Struthio camelus: one gene and its partner. The protein of the gene in region 1 interacts with the protein of each later gene in a pairwise test. Links are inferred from orthologs where the notes say so. Each region holds a gene or a part of one and is shown on either strand. Other genes may lie near its edges.

What was found.
Region 2: the proteins of BAG4 (region 1) and ALG13 interact in binary tests that used the Homo sapiens proteins (3 or more experiments, as listed by UniProt). The link is inferred for Struthio camelus from reciprocal best matches to the Homo sapiens genes BAG4 and ALG13.

What each region holds. Positions count from the first base shown.
Region 1 is NC_090968.1:7,093,021-7,100,981, reverse strand, and holds the start of BAG4 (BAG family molecular chaperone regulator 4), read right to left. Parts: upstream 3,157-7,961; 5' UTR 3,142-3,156; coding exon 3,019-3,141; intron 2,947-3,018; exon of another isoform or gene 2,776-2,946; coding exon 2,665-2,775; intron 2,254-2,664; exon of another isoform or gene 2,117-2,253; coding exon of another isoform or gene 2,052-2,116; intron 1-2,051. Other genes in the region: G protein-coupled receptor kinase 5-like, read left to right, coding at 3,545-3,590, 5,342-5,410. UniProt on the Homo sapiens protein: Inhibits the chaperone activity of HSP70/HSC70 by promoting substrate release. Prevents constitutive TNFRSF1A signaling. Negative regulator of PRKN translocation to damaged mitochondria.
Region 2 is NC_090952.1:8,239,254-8,247,433, forward strand, and holds the start of ALG13 (UDP-N-acetylglucosamine transferase subunit ALG13), read right to left. Parts: upstream 3,204-8,180; 5' UTR 3,091-3,203; coding exon 3,010-3,090; intron 2,050-3,009; coding exon 1,887-2,049; intron 1,627-1,886; coding exon 1,488-1,626; intron 1-1,487. UniProt on the Homo sapiens protein: Catalytic subunit of the UDP-N-acetylglucosamine transferase complex that operates in the biosynthetic pathway of dolichol-linked oligosaccharides, the glycan precursors employed in protein asparagine (N)-glycosylation.

The DNA of each region.
Region 1 (7,961 bases):
CAGGACTTTCAGCCTAGCTTCCCATTAAATAGAGCATGGCTTTTCATGGTGGTGGAAGGCCGAGAAAGCAGACACAGAGAAGGGATTTACAGTACTCCATCAACAGGGGCTTGCTGGGAACCAGCTAGCTCACAAGACCATTTTCCTCTTGCATTTTCCTCCTTCCTTTTCTCAAAAAATGTGGGTATCTCTCAGCACTCTCACAAAAGCTTTACAAACGTGCAGCCAAAATACCTTTGTGTGCATCTTCTGTCCTTGCCTCTAACAAACACCAACAATAGCCTTTTCCCACTTCAGCTGCGGATTCTCGCTGAAGAAAGGCAAGCTGAGCCTTCCCCATCTGTTCTCTGTCCTGGCATCCTGTCCCTCCTACTCAAAGGCATCACCAGGGCTCAGCACTGGTCCCCATCTCTTTGCAGTCCAAAGAGAACTCCACTAAGGACACAGACCTCCAGCAGGCAGCATCTGGCCTGCTCGTCCCATTTTTGGGGATCAGGCCATAACTGATTCAGTCAGGCCGATTCAGTCTGTGCCATGCTCCAGCTTTCAGCTGTTAGATTTAACTAGGTCAATTTAGTCACTGATTGAAACTGATTGGTAGATGAAAAACGCTCCAGGGAAGTTCATTTCCTTTTTCAATCTACAAACAGAAACAATCCAAGATGACTAGATCTACTCGCCTTGAGCCTAAGGAACAAGGCAGTCGGATCACTAAGCTGCAGATATGGCTGCCGCAGTAGAAACAGTCAAATTTGTGAGAACTTTTTATAGGCAATATCTGTATGTCCAGAGCATTTATGGTAATTTATTTGAACATATTTGAGTACTTAATTTATACTGAACATAAGTGTCTGAGCTATGGTAAGACGGAAGCTCAAGTGTTAGCATTTCAGCAGCTCACTGACAGCTCCCTAGTAGCTTTGGGCTTCAGTTCTTTGCCTGTGAGCTGTTTCATAAAGGAGAGACCGGATCACCTGCTCCAGGACTTAGAAACCAGCTAAAGCAAACCTAAACGTCACATAGAATTAGAACAAACCATAGTTACGTCTGTACAACCAGCAGACGACCTCTTTGGAAAGAGTAAAGCCCTTTTCTTTGCACGATATTTGTGCAATGGTCCCTAAAAAAAAAACACTACTGCTGCATTCAGAACAACAAATAATAAATCCCAGGAAGAGTGAGTCACGGGACATAAAGGGAACATGTAAGCTTTTTTTCCTCTTCCTCTCTTCCTGCAGCAGGAGCAGCTAACTCGTGCCTGCCCTCTACCTGGGGTCAGACACGTGATGTAAATCGTGCCATCCTGCAGACTGCCAATTCCTTCCCAGGGATGAGGTTGACCGTACACATATCACTGTCTGTGCAGCTGACATCTTTAGTTTGCTGTGCCTTTAGGTGTCGGGCATTAGATTCCCGAGTTCCACATTCACATCGGAGAACAGACAATTCTGTTTCTCGATAAAGAATCTATTAGTTGGGACCAGTGTATGCATTACATGGTGATTCCCAATTCTTACCAGTCATCTCCTGGCAGCAGACAAATCAAGGATGGCAGCGTTGCCCCAGCAGTCTCTTCATTAAAAAAATATATATATAACTTAAAAATTTCACCTTGACCTGGATATTAAGATAAAACTTTCTACCCTGTTCATCGTCTTCCATTTTCTTCAATTAAAAACACCTGCCCCAAACCAGCAGAACGGGAGACCAGATTCTTATTTAATGCAAAATGGTTTGCACATGAAGCTACAAGACCATTAAAAAAAAAAAAAAAACACAGTTACACTTAAAGACATAAGACATGAACTTAAAAATCCAGACAGTCTGGCACAGCTAGATAACATTATGATTCAGCGTCAAGAATGCTTTGAAAGTAACAGGTAATTTCTGGGTAGGGTAGAATCTTCAAGTTGGTCCTAACACTGCTCATAACTAGATGGCAGAAGAACGAATCTGTTTATTTCTGTGAGCTGAGAAGATTCAGAGGCCACCCACGCGCAGAAGGGAGCACAGGAGTTGCAGCAACATTGAGGGCAGACAAGGCATCTCACCAGCACGTAGCCGTGGGGGAGAGGACAGGGAGAGAAACCCGCGGAGCAGACCGAAGTGCCGCCATCCGGCAACGAAGCACGCTCTCGCTCCAAGCCCTGCTAACTCAAGGCGAGCAGGGCATTAGAGCCACGGATTTCCCAGCTCCAGCTAGTCACATCGCCTCTCTGCCAGGCCCCTCCTCTAGGCATAAGGCAAGAATGAGATCCGTGAGATCTCAGAGTCGTTTGGGGTCATTTCTCCAGTTATGGACGGGGGGGGGATCTGTGATGGGTGTCCGCAGGCTATGGACCTGACAGTGCTTTGTGCAGGAAGGGCCGGGAGCTGTCACCGCTTGCAGCACGCCGTTTGCTAGGGCGTTCCCGAGCGGGCTGCTAGCCTCCGTTCAGTACTTTGAAGCGCCAGTGCAGAGCATTACTGGAAGCTCCCGGAGCAAGGGGGAAAGGGCAAAGGGAGCCAAACGCCCTGGGACGTCTGCCGTGGGAGGCAACCGAGAGTCCCGGCTCCCGCTTCCAGCTCAGCCGGTCTCAGCCCCAGGCCTCCAGGCGTAGCCAGGCCTCAGCAGACACCTCGGGTTTCGAGGGAACCACGAGGGGAAGGTTTTCCTCGCCGTACCTGGCCTTGCCCGTCAGGCGCGGAGGGACAGGGGCTGGAGGCGTAGGCGGTTGGAGGCTGCGCGGCCGCGCTCCAGTAGCGGGGCGCGTACCCAGGGTACGGTGTCTGCTCCTAGAGGGCGGAAGGAAGGAGACTCGCTTTCTTGTAGCGGCGAGCGGGAGGCCGCCCCTTCCGGGAAGGGGGGCACGGGCGAGAAGCGGCGGCGGCGGCCCTGGCGCGCGGCGACCGCCCCGACGACAGGGCGCTCCGTGGCTGGCTCGCAGCGCTGGCGCCCGCCCGCCTGCCTCGCCCCCCGCCCGCTTCTCCCTCGCCGACCCTCCCCGGCGGCTCCCGGCCCCCGCCGCCCGCCGTTACCTGCGCGCCGCCCGGGCGCTCCCAGCCGCCGCCCCCCGCCGCGGCCGGCGGGCAGTAGGACCCGGGGGGCCACGACGGGCCCTGCGCGGCGCCGCGGCCCGGCGGGCACCCGCGAGGCTCCATGGTGGGCGCCGCTGGGGCCGCTACCGGGCCGGACGTCGCCGCCGCTACCGCGCCAATCGCCTCGCGGCGCGGCCGCAACACCCGCCAATGGGCGGCGAGCGCCCGCGGATATCCCGCCCGCCTCTCCGCCGGCAGCCAATGGGATGAGCCCCAAGGGCAGCGGCGGCGCCGCCCCCGGCGCGGCTTAAAGGGGCAGGGGCCGCGGGGGGCGCACCAGGCACCGGCGCCCCTCGCCCCCGCTCCCGCCCGCGGCAGGGCGGCCTGGCCGGGGGCGTGGCCGCGACGAGGCCCCGCCCAAGAGCGGGCGTGGCCGCGACGAGGCCCCGCCCGGAGGCGTGGCCGCGGGGCGGTTCCGGCGGCGCATGGCGGCGCTTCCGCTCGGCGCGGCGGCAGCGGCGGCACCATGAACTACATGCCGGGCACGGCCAGCCTCATCCAGGACATCGACAGTGAGTGTCGGCCGCCGCCCTCCGCGCCGCCCCCGCGGGGGGGAGACGGGAGCCCCCGGGCGGGGACCTCGTGTCGGGCGGGGGAGCCGCGGGTGGGCCCCGGCGTGGGGCGGGTGAGCCCCCCAGACCCCGCCGTGGGCACCGACCCCCCGTGGGTCGGCTGAGTCCTCTAGGGAGCCTCCTGTGGGCCTCCCCGGAGCCCCCCCGTGGGCACTGACCCCCCGTGGGTCGGCTGAGTCCTCTAGGGACCCCCCCGTGGGCCTCCTCAGACCCCCCCCGTGGGCACTGACCCCCCGTGGGTCGGCTGAGTCCTCTAGGGACCCCCCCGTGGGCCTCCTCAGACCCCCCCCGTGGGCACTGACCCCCCGTGGGTCGGCTGAGTCCTCTAGGGACCCCCCCGTGGGCACCGACCCCACGTGGATCGGATGAGTCCTGTAGGGAGCCCCCTGTGGGCCCCCTCAGAACCCCTCCGTGGGCACCGACCCCACGTGGGTCGGCTGGTTCCTCTAGGGACCCCCCCCGTGGGTACCGACCCCACGTGGATCGGATGAGTCCTGTAGGGAGCCCCCTGTGGGCCCCCCAGACCCCCCCCCGTGGGCACTGACCCCCCGTGGGTCGGCTGAGTCCTCTAGGGACCCCCCCGTGGGCCTCCCCAGACCCCCCCCCGTGGGCACTGACCCCCCGTGGGTCGGCTGAGTCCTCTAGGGACCCCCCCGTGGGCCTCCCTAGACCCCCCCGTGGGCACCGACCCCACGTGGATCGTCTGAGTCCTCTAGGGAGCCCCCCCGTGGGCCTCCCCAGACCCCCCCGTGGGCACTGACCCCCCGTGGGCTGGCTGGTTCCTCTAGGGACCCCCCCGTGGGCCCCCCAGACCCCCCCGTGGGCACCGACCCCCCTTGGGCTGGCTGAGTCCTCTATGGAGCCCCCTGTGGGCCCCCCATACTCTCCCCCGTGGGCACCGACCCCCCTTGGGCCGGCTGATTCCTCTAGGGAGCCCCCCGTGGGCCCCCCAGACCCCCTCCGTGGGCACCGACCCCATGTGGGTCGGCTGAGTCCTCTAGGGAGCCCCCCCGTGGGCCTCCCCGGACCCCCCCGTGGGCACTGACCCCCCGTGGGCTGGCTGGTTCCTCTAGGGACCCCCCCCGTGGGCCCCCCAGACCCCCCCGTGGGCACCGAACCCCCTTGGGCTGGCTGAGTCCTCTATGGAGCCCCCTGTGGGCCCCCCATACCCTCCCCCGTGGGCACCGACCCCCCTTGGGCTGGCTGATTCCTCTAGGGAGCCCCCTGTGGGCCCCCCAGACCCCCTCCGTGGGCACCGACCCCCCTTGGGCCGGCTGATTCCTCTAGGGAGCCCCCCGTGGGCCCCCCAGACCCCCTCCGTGGGCACCGACCCCATGTGGGTCGGCTGAGTCCTCTAAGGAGACCCGGGTGGGCCCCGGCGTGGGGTGGGTGAGTCCCCCAGACCCCCCCGTGGGTCAGCTGAGTCCTCTAAGGAGACCCGGGTGGACCCCGGCGTGGGGTGGGTGAGTCCCCCAGACCCCCCCGTGGGCCCCGACTCCCCGTGGGTCAGCTGAGTCCTCTAGGGAGCCCCCCCGTGGGTCCTGGCATGGGGTGGGTGAGCCCCACGTGGGTCGGGTGACCCCCCCCCAGACCCCTCCCGTGGGCCCCCGCTCGGTGGCCCTGGGGCTGCCCCCCCGCTGGGGCAGCGGTCAGCGCCGCCGCGGCTGAGCGGGCTCTGGGCTCTCTTTCAGAGAAGCACCTGGTGCTGCTCCGGGACGGCCGCACGCTGATCGGGTACCTGCGCAGCATCGACCAGTTCGGTACGTGTCGCCGGCCGCGCTCGGCTGCTTTCGCCGCTCCGTTTGCGGGGCGGTTGGGGGGGGGGGGGGGGTTGGCTTGGTCCGCGCTCAAACCTTGCTGCCAGCCAGGAGAGGAGCCGGCGCCTCCTGCCCCACGGCAGGAGCCGTTTCTGAGCAGTCCGTCCGCAGCCGGGGCACGCGCGGCACCGAGCTGTTTCCTGATTTTTGGATATGTTTCCAGAAAGAGCTTTAAAAACACTGTTTGGGGTTACAGAGAGAAAACAGAGGGGGGGACGTTTAGGTGGTTTTCTCGCTCGCGATGCGCCGTCTGCGCTCTGCATCAAACCCGGGTGTCCTTACTGGCGACTCGGCAGCCCTGAACGTGGTTTGTGCTGCCGCTCTGGCTTGTCGCTCGCCGCAAGGAGGAGCCAGGCCCCGGCGGGCAGGGTGCGCGAGGGGACGGGGCAGGGGACGCGTGGGGCTGACAGCAGGGTCCTGGGCCGGCGGTGAACTTGCAGGAGACACCAACGCTGGGGCTGTGCGCGGAGCAGAAGTTCAGCCGCGCTGCGCCTCTCTGCTAGGGCCGTTGGCAGGTGGTGCCTCTCCGCCCGTCCCCCGCTGCGTAGCGTCAGGACAGGGAAAATACGGCTGGCTGCCGTGTGAAAACGCAAGCGGAGTTTTTTGGTTCTGGCCCGAGTGAAGCTCTGCCGCTGTCTCCAGCCCTGCGGCCGTGCTGCAGCAGCTGTTTGGGCTCGTCCTCTTGCAGCGTTCGAGGGACCGGTCTCCAGGTGGAAACGTTTGCACCAGCTCTTCCTGAGAGTAGTGGTTTTTGCACGTTTGTGGTTCTGCGCGAATGCCCAAATCTGGCAAATTCCCTACTCTTTTCCTCCTCCTTGCCCCCACCAGAAAGGGCTTTGCAGGGGTGAGGCACCTGCCAGAGGATCCTCGTGGCAGAGCAGAGGCCTCTGAATCGGGCTGCGCGGCGCTAGGTGAGATCGGGAAGGCTGTCAAGGGAGCCGCACGCTTGCGTGTTTGGCTGAAACAAGGGAGAGGCGAAGAGTTTAGCCTGGACTTGGCGCGATCCAGGGCAAGTATTAGTTGTGTGTTCAGGGTCTGCTCTCCCTGTTCACTTAAACAGGAGTAAAATCAGCCCACGGTCTGGGAGCCTGGTCGCAGCGTGGGCTGTGTCTGGGTCAGGCAGACAATGCTTTTTGCATGTGCCAGTTGTGAGCAGAATTACATATTTCCTTGACTAAAAACAATCTTAAGTTCTAATGAAAAAGGTGCTTGCTGTGCATAGAATGATATGATTTGAAAGTCAAGCTTTAAAGCTTGTTTGTGTTGTGTTTTAAAAATTCACTTAGGTGTTCCTCTTCTATGGGAGCTGGCATTGTAAACATCCTTTCTGAGCATGTACCCCCTCTTGTTTATGCGAAGGGTAGCTGCAGGGTTTTTTTTTCCGGATTAGGCAACTTATTGCAAAAAACAGATTTACGAGGTCTCTGGCTTTATAGATAATGCATCTAACCTTGGTTGCTAATTGGAGAAGTATCTGTTCTCTGTCAATCACTGCGGTTTAAACAAATACATCAGATGTGATTTGGTGGTTTACTGAAACTTCTTGTAAAAGCTGTGTGGCTGTTTCCCTCCCCTCTGCTCCCCTTCCCTTCCCCTCCCCTCTGCTTCCCTTCCTCCTTCATGATTTTGTCAGATGTTAATTTGATGCTCTAACTTCTCTTCTTGTGAAATCAGCATTTGAGAAGTATCTCTCAACAGCCTGGGATTTTTGTGTTTTATGTCTGTGCTTAAGATAAAACGTCTTAGTCCTTGCCCCAGAATCTACGGCACCAAAGATAACATCGTTTTCCCCTTGGCCCTGACTCTCATGCTGTCAACACATGGTGTTTGGGTGAATAGCAACCCTATCAACAGTTTGAGTTTCCTGGTTCTGTTTCCGACGCTGCTGCTGCTGCTTCTCCCTGTTCTGAGCTTGCTTGTCCCATCTCTGTCCTGTGTGCACAGGCCGTAAGAAGGAGTCCCTGCCCTCAAGCTCCTGTTCTGCCCATGCTGCAGCTCCTAGCGCAAGGAACTGGGGTTTCAGCTGCTGCCTGGAGGTGGCTGTGTCGATTGCTAAAGCTGAAGTGCAGCAGCCGCGTTTCAGTAGGGGAGAAATCTGGTTCCTTTCATGGTCTGGTTCAAAGGATCTGCCAAGAAGCAGTGGAGGTGCTTATCAGTGACCATGCCATCTCAGCTGTGGGTGTGTTGCCTGGCTCAGATGAGATGTTCTCTTTAGCTAGAAACAAAGTGAAAGATGGATGTTTTCTTTTTCTCTTGATCGCTGCAGCAAACTTGGTGTTGCACCAGACTGTGGAGCGCATTCACGTGGGCAAGAAGTATGGGGACATCCCTCGAGGCATCTTTGTTGTGAGAGGCGAGAACGTTGTTCTGCTGGGGGAAATAGTAAGTAAGCAGCTCTTTCTGCCTGGCTCTCTTGTCTACTGCTGGCCTGGAGCAATGGCTCAGTTGTGGTCCAGGGTTAAATAGCTGGTGATATCTGTAGCTACAATTACTC
Region 2 (8,180 bases), on another chromosome or scaffold:
CTAATTTTTTATCTTCGGTGGCTGCAAGCAACGTTGGGAGACTGAATAAGGTTTGAGGATCGCTGCCATAAACTGTATTAGGAAATTCATCCTATTTCAACACATAAGTAACCACTTAACACATAGCCAGAAAAGACAGCTAAATCAATCCATTAGCTTGCAATTTTCAGACTGCAAATAAGGCTGAAAAGCTAAAATACTGTTCAACAAAGAAATAAAAATCCCTTCCTACCTCTGAAGTGGTCAGAAGCACTGAGAAAATAAGTTTAAGAAACTGGCCTAATGTAAATTAATGAAAGGTCTGGTCTTTTTGGAAGGCTCTTCTGAAACAGAATCCTATTTGCAGGGCAAAGGAACAAGATGCAGACTAAATAATGTGAGGTGCATTTCCCCTACCTTCAATTTAAAGGTCATCTATTATTTATGGAGTGCCATAAATCACATTCATGAAGAGAAATGGGAAGATACAGTTGAAATAAAGGAGCATCAAATGAAACTAACAGGGCCCAGGATCAACAAACAAAAAGGCCTTTTTTTGTCTAAGTGGCATGCAGTAGATCTGTCAAACTCTGTCAAAGGATGTTGTGGATGCCGGAAGTTTGGTTAAGAGAGTAGCCTGAGTAAGTACTTGGAAGACAGATGTAATGAAAGTTACTAACCAACCAACCAACCAACATCTAATTTAGGAAAACCCTGAAGCATTAGGGTATTAGAAGGAAAGTCATAGAAGAGAGTCCCATTTCCTGTTCTTACTTTTTGCTAGGTATCTGTGTATGGCCACTGCACACACGTTACTGAGCTATATAGCCTCCTGAGTTGAATCAGTAAGGCCGTTTTCATGTTTTGTTCTAAATACTCGAGACGCATAGATATAATAAAAAATGAAGGTATCCATACAGTCATCTCTAGTGCCCCTCACAAAGAAAACCCACATAGAACTCCGTTTTTTTCATTTTACTAAGTCTGCAGGGAGCAATATATTTCTTATAGTTCATGGTTGGGAACTAGGCAGTATTATTTCTAGCTTTGAGAAAGAATTAAGAGGTGAGAAAGGGAGGGCAGAGTAAGAGAGGAGTTGTTAGGTACCCCTAGGATGCCACCTGACAGTTACCTGTCACTCAAATTCAACCATGGTTTAGACTGCTTTTTTTATTTTTTTTAAACTGGAAACATGTGACCTCAAAATAAAAGTTACATTAAAATTAATCTCAGACAAAAGGCTTGGTAGATTTGGTGGAGACAGCACCAACTGTTGATCTATCTACTATGGAAAAACATGCCTTGCAAACAAACAAAAAACTAGCTTTCCTGAAATGTCTGTCCTGCCCTTACTACTTAGGTGGGGAAGTTAATTGTGGTATTTGGTCAATGTGATTTTGTTACAGAGAAGGATGTGAATTTACTTATTACGTTCTCAATACTGTAATGACCAAGCTACGGTACTGAATACCTCTTGTTCAGTCAGGATCACCACAGCTGCTTCATACCTGCAATTACAATAGAGGACATGTCCATCTCTGTGGAGTTGCTTTGCCAATTCAAGCTGATGGTTGTTCATCAGCTTTTCGTTTATTACTACTATTAGTGGTTTTCCTTCTTCTAGCGTCTCCAAACAGCTACCTGCACCTACAGAAGAAACAAAAAACATGATCAGTGCTTTCACCTATAGATCAAACTTCATCCTACTGGCTCTTGCAACATGAGAGACTCCTGAACCTGAGCATTTAATCCATTTAACTCTAGCTGTGGACCTGAACTTTTAATGCTAACAGAGTCAGAGAATTACAGAAACGGAAGCTGCCCACGCTACCGACTTTCACATCTACCCACACGAGAACAGGCTTGGCAAACTCTCTGCACGGCACTCAGCTGCCAGTGCGCTCTACCTGCATGGCTTATGACCAGGTCTGCTCTCCGCAGGTCCTCAGCCAGCGAGTCCTTGAAGCGGAAGGCCTCTAGCGTGAAGGCCGGGGTGCTCACCGGGGCCGGCTCCTGCACCCCGTGGCCGATTTGGAGGACCAGCTTGCGGTACCCGTGACTCTGCAGCACCTGCGGCAGGAGGGAGAGCGGCAACAGTGCTCAGCAGCGAGCCGCAGAGCGGAGCACCTGTGGTGGGGCTGCCCCTGGTGGGCACCTGGTTGGGCTGACCCCAGCTCTGCTCCTGGGTACCCCATGGCACAGGGCCACTGCCATGGCCAGGGGGCACACGCCACCCCCTGCCTCATGCTTTATAGCCCCCCCAAGTCCCCCTGCCTCACAGCCCCTCCAAATCCTGCCTTGCCTTACAGCCCCCCTAAATCCCGCCTTGCCTCATAGTCCCAAGTCCCCCTAAATCCTGCCTCATAGCCCCCCAATCTTGCCTTGCCTCACAGACCTAAATCCTACCTTGCCTCATAATCCCCCTAGATCCCACCTCACAGCCCCCAAATCCTGCTTTGCCTCACAGCCCCTCCCAAATCCTGCCTCATCTCACAGCCCCCCAAATCCTGCATTTCACAGCCCCCAAATCTTGCCTTGCCTCATAGCCCCCCCCAAACCCCGCTTTGCCTAACAGCCCCCTCAAATCCCACCTTGCCTCATAGCCCCCAAATCCTGCTTTGCCTCACAGCCCCCCAAATCCTGCTTTGCCTCACAGCCCCAAATCCCGCCTCACAGCCCCCAAATCCTGCCTGGCGTCACAGCCCCCCCAAATCCCACCTCACAGCCCCCTCAAATCCCACCTCTCTCCTCACAGCCTCCCCAAATCCCATCTCTCTCCTCACAGCCCCCCCAAATCCCGCCTCACAGCCCCCCAAATCCCATCTCTCTCCTCACAGCCCCCCCAAATCCCGTCTCTCCCCTCACAGCCCCCCAAATCCCGCCTCTCTCCTCCCCGCCCCCCGCCGGGGTCGCCGGCCCCAGGGCGGGCGGGGGAGCGGGCCCGCAGTGCGCGTGCGCCCGGCGGCCCGGCCCGACCCGGCCCGGCGCGGCGGGCGGAGGCCCAGGCCAGAGGGCTCGGCGCTGCCTCACCCGCACGGCGGCTGGCGAGGAGGCGGCGGCGATCAGCTCCTCGAAGCTGGTGGTGCCCACGGTGACGAACACGGACTTCATGGCCGGCGGCAGGGCCCCGCCGCGCCTAACCGTGCGGCCGGCGAGGCAGGGGGAGCGGCGGCGGGGGAGGGGGGCCGCCAGGGGGCGCCCGGTCCCGCCCCGCCGCTGCCGCGGAGCGGACAAAATGGCCGCCGCGCTGAGGGGCCTGGGCGGCGCCGTCCTCCCCCCCCCCCCCCCCCCCCCCGCGATGGCGGCGGGCTGCACTGGGAGCTTGCTACTGTCCCCTCTCGCTAGCTACTTTGTCTCCTTCGGTTTCCTTCCCTGAGTTTCCTCTGCGGTGAGGAGGAAGCAGCCCCCTCCGCGGGAGAAATCGCCGCAGCTCTTTAAGGCCGGTTCTTTATCAAAAAAAGAAGATCGAGAACGCAAATTTTTTTTTTTCTTAAAGCAAGAAAACACCAAGATGGCCTTTTTCTTAAATGTCTTTTCTCACGAGAACTGATTAGCCCAGGAGGCTCGGGTTAACGCGGCTGTAGAGCTTCTGGGGCCCGCAAACCGTACCGGGTATGGCCCGCGCCCGCTTGCCCTGCTCCCTGGGCAAATCTGCTGCCGCTCGCTCGCCTGAAGGAAAATCTGACTCGTTTATTTTTAACCGTTGCAGTTGCGCACTAGGAAGACGTTTCTGAGGTTGAAGCAGGGTAACGCAAGCCCTGCTGCGTGCTGGTGTCAGTCCCGACGGCAGCCGGGACCCGGCGGCAGCCTGCCTGGCGCCCGGAGAGCTGGGACCCCTCGGGGTGGTGGGGCAAGAGCTGCCCAACCCCAGGAAGGCTGGCACAGTGGCAGGGTCCCCGCGGGACCGTTTGAGACGTGCTGTAAGCGAAGGAAGCAAAAGGTACCTAGGGCAGGCGGTCTAGGACCGAGACAAGAAAATAAGGCGAGGAAACTGAGGGAGGACAGAAGCAAAAAGACCAGAGTTCCTGTCACCATCATCTGCCGACACTTAAACTGCCTTATTTTTTACAATATGCTTTTGCTGAACTGGTCACCTCAACCTATTCCTTTCCATTCCGCTTTTCTCCTTACAGCCTTGCCACATGTGAAAGTCACAAGCCAAGCCATAGAAAATCAGGGTATCAGGAGTCCTTAAGAAATACTTGCAGAGTGCTTTCTCTTGGCTTTATGCTGTCTGGGCCTGTTAATTTCCACTGTAATTCTGAGGACTAGGAAAAAAAACCCTGAAATTCTCAGGTAATCTCTTGATACCAACTGCTGGGGCCTTATTCAAATATATTGTTTATTTTAACACTAGTCTCATGACTCACCAAAGCATCACAAAGGGGTGGTAGTGTATGAGTAGTCAGTCATGTTTTGGAGGCAGGATGGATGTTTCATACCTCTGATGCCCGAAGCAATGCCACATGGCACCTGTAATGGTGGCCCACTGGTGATGGGCCTCACTGGGGCATACCCTTCCCTTCCAGGAGCCCAGCTGCACTGCTGCCACAGCTGGTCAGCAGATCACCTGTGGATATGAGTCATTTTAAAATACTCACTTTAAAAAGCAAATTCTGAAAGTCATTTAAATACTTGTGTTCCTCTCCTACCCTTGCCTTTTGAAAGATACGTGCTCAGCATCACTGAATACAATAAGGTTCCCACTCCTCCCTACTGCCCTTTAAGTACACATTTTTCTGATGCTGTTTCAGGCTGATCTTCCCACCTGTTACAAGGACTGAGGAAACATGCTGCCATGGGCAAGAGCTTATCAACTCCCAACATGACACCATCCCAAGAGCTAAGGAACAGGGAATCAGAGAGGAGCTGAGGTGGGAGGTGAAGGTTTCTTCTGAACAAAGCAGCGTGCAGTGTTAAGCCACCTTAAATCAATAGCAAAGACGAAGTCACCAGCAAATTTCTCATCTCAGGTACGTTTCCCCTTTGTGATGAAAACCCTGCAGTGTTGTAGTTTCAAAGTGAGACATCACATCTGATAACACATGATCTTGGCCACTGAAGGACATAATAATCCTTTACCAGTTGCACAAGCTGAACCAGAAGCGTTAAGTGTAAAGCAACATATTTTTTGACAGAAACTACTCAAATTAGACATCTAAACATACTTATTCTTTGAATTAGATTTAATAGATGAGGTTGCATCTACATTTATTGCTGATTGTACAAAGAAAGAGGCAGAAGAGATTTAGCACTCTTAAGGATACTTCTAATTGCCATGTTAATGGCTCATTCACAGTGCTCATTAGCCCCCTATTGTTTTCATTTGACATAATGAGCCACACTGAAACTCATTTATTGTTGATAAAAGCAAGTAATGCTGACAGCAGGATTGGGGGGGGGGGGGGGGGGGAAGGAAGAGAGGTAGTATCTGATTTTGGGAGATATGTTGTGGAGTAAAACCGATGTCAGGGCCCTAAGAATCCAATAGGCCTCAGCAGCCCTCACTAGCCTTGTCCTACCCTTGCTGCTCCCTAAGGGCAGGTGAGCTGGGAGCAGAGCATGGCCAAAACACAGTCCAGGAAACAACATCATCAACAGGTGCAATTCCACAGCGCCAGAGGCAGGTGAGGAGGGCAGGGTGGTGACAGCAAACAGGTCCTGCCAAAGGCAATGCAACAGGCCAGGTCTAAGGTCCATCCAGGAAATCCAAGCAGCAACTCAGGACCAGGGTTAGGAGAAAATGCACCTCTGATGCAGCTCAGCAGGGAACGAGGGCCCAGCTTGGGAGTGAGTGGAGGCCCCAGGTGAGGCTGGTCAGGGCAATTAAAGCCAGTAAGTGCTCTCAGGGCCCTGACAGCTGATGGATATAGGAAGATTTTGGAATGAAAAGACGGATGCTAGGTTTATCAGGTGTGACAGAGGAGGGTTAACACATCAATAAACCTTTCTGAGAAGAGATAAGGACAGCTATTGAAGAAATGTTTTAAATAAAAAAAAATTAGGATAGAACTTAATATGTTGGAATGTGTTCCTGTCTTTGTCATTAATTTATATTAAGCTAGGTACTGTGGTTTAGCAAATTACTGCTCCTTTGTAGCTGGGGTGCAATAACTCACCATGTGCATGCTATTTTTCTGCCCAAATTGCAAAATAAACTCACCATTACGGTGAGTTAAGTTCACGCATTCATTTTGCAGTTAGCTCAGGTTTACAGTGTTTGTACCTCAGCTGTGACCTTGCTTTCAGCCATCCACTCATAGCTTGAAGTAAGGCACTCTAAAGAAAATGCTCCATGCATCAGCAGCCAATTGTACTGTCGTTATTTGTTCTCTCAAACTTCAGCAGAGTAAAATATGTATTTAGAAAAATGAAGCGGAGTAGTCTTAGTCTTTCTAACCCTCGTGTAAGAGAGAAACCGTAGTACAGGCCCCATGGTACTGTGTGTTAAATTCTTATATCGAGGTTTACTATGATAATTAACGTCTATGTAGAGGAAAATTTACTCCTCCAGTCAACGGGTGTCTGTTTTGTGGTATATTCTAAAACCTGCTCAATGATTCTTGTCTGTGCTTTAAGGAAGTCACAATTTAAACAAAGCATGGAGCTTGTTAGGAGTATTGCATATTAGGTAACAGTAAACCCACACTGCTCAAGAAAAAAAAAAGCAAACTGGCTGACCTCTTCTTACTCTTAAGAAGTGTTTTGGACTAATTTCATGTTGATGTGTTCCAGCTTCTGTCTTATCAAAGCACTGTTCAAAGTGAGGAGAGCTTGCTGCTCTTCTCCTTCCAAAATGTAGTAGGCCTGATTGCAAAACAGCACAGTACTTCCAATTTCAAGGAGAATTTAGCATGCTCAGCAGTTTGTAAAACCAGGCCTAATCTCACTAGCCTGTCAAATGGAATCTGTCCTCCAGTTTACTTATTCAAAAAAGTCCAAGAGTGATGGCCTGTCAAGAGGGAGCCCTTCTTACACTTCATCACTTTTAGTACTCCTTGTGGAAGATGTTAAATACAGTGCTGTTTGCAAGAAGGGTTGATACAGCTACCTGGTTGTTGTAAACATGCTCAGAAAGGAGAAAGGATTATAAATACAAGAAAGATTTCATGCCAACAGGAGCCACAGCTGTCTTAAAATACTATATGTCCCGGATCATGGAACAGCAGGTTTTACATTTGATTCTTTTGACTTTTAATTGCATGAGTGCTGAATTTCACTTCTGTAGGATCCTGTTCTACTCATTTGCTTTCTAGAATAAAGAAAATTTAGAAATCACTGGAATGGTTGTCGGAACATGAGGACTGCCAGAAGGCCAGAGATTAAAAGAACGCAGTATGGAGCAGGTATGTGTGATTCCAGCGTGGTATTTTTAATGTATCACTGAAAGTCAGTGTCCTCTGCAGTTTGCACTCCCAGCATCATGCTGTCTAGGGAACAGAAGAACAAAATTCCTGCAAATAATTTTGTAGTGACTAAGATGTGCATTGGAGTTTTCACTGAAAAACGGAGGATACGTTCCATTTGCAAATTGAATTAGGTTTGCTAGGGTGATTTTAACCTAAAGAGGAAAGGGGATGCCATCCATTACCTCATACTAATTTGCGCTTGCTATTTTACTCAGAAGTTTTGTAGAGCATAGGTGGAATTTTTCCTGTGAGCGCTTATTCTCTGATCCATGAGAACTACTGGTCATTTAGACTCTTGGTGTCTGTAGAATGAGATACTTGAAGCTGATGCCTGCAGTTCAAAGGCAGTTAAAGATCAGGTAATCCCAATTTCATATCATACCTTGTTCCTGGCCATTCATTCCTGCCCCTGCCCTTCTGCTTCTACAGATGCTTGTACAACTACACAGTGATTCAGTTCATAGAGCTGATCTGAGAAAGCAGTAGTTTATTTGGTGTTGGATCTGTTCCCTGAGTTGCACAAGCATGAAGATTAGCACAAAGAAGGAGACAGGATCCTAGCACCGTGGACTTAGATTGGCTTAAATGCTGGGGAACTGCACCTATGTCTGCCTGTTTGTGCCATTAGTAGCTGGGATTGCATTTGCCAAGCCACGTGGCTCAGGCAGCTGTGTGGCCTAGCCTGTGAGGCAGAGCTTGTGCAAGCCAGTCCCCAGTTGGGCTTGAGAGTCTGTTTATTTGCTGCACCAGTTGTTTCACTCCAGGGCATATATGTGTACTGGGAAGATACCA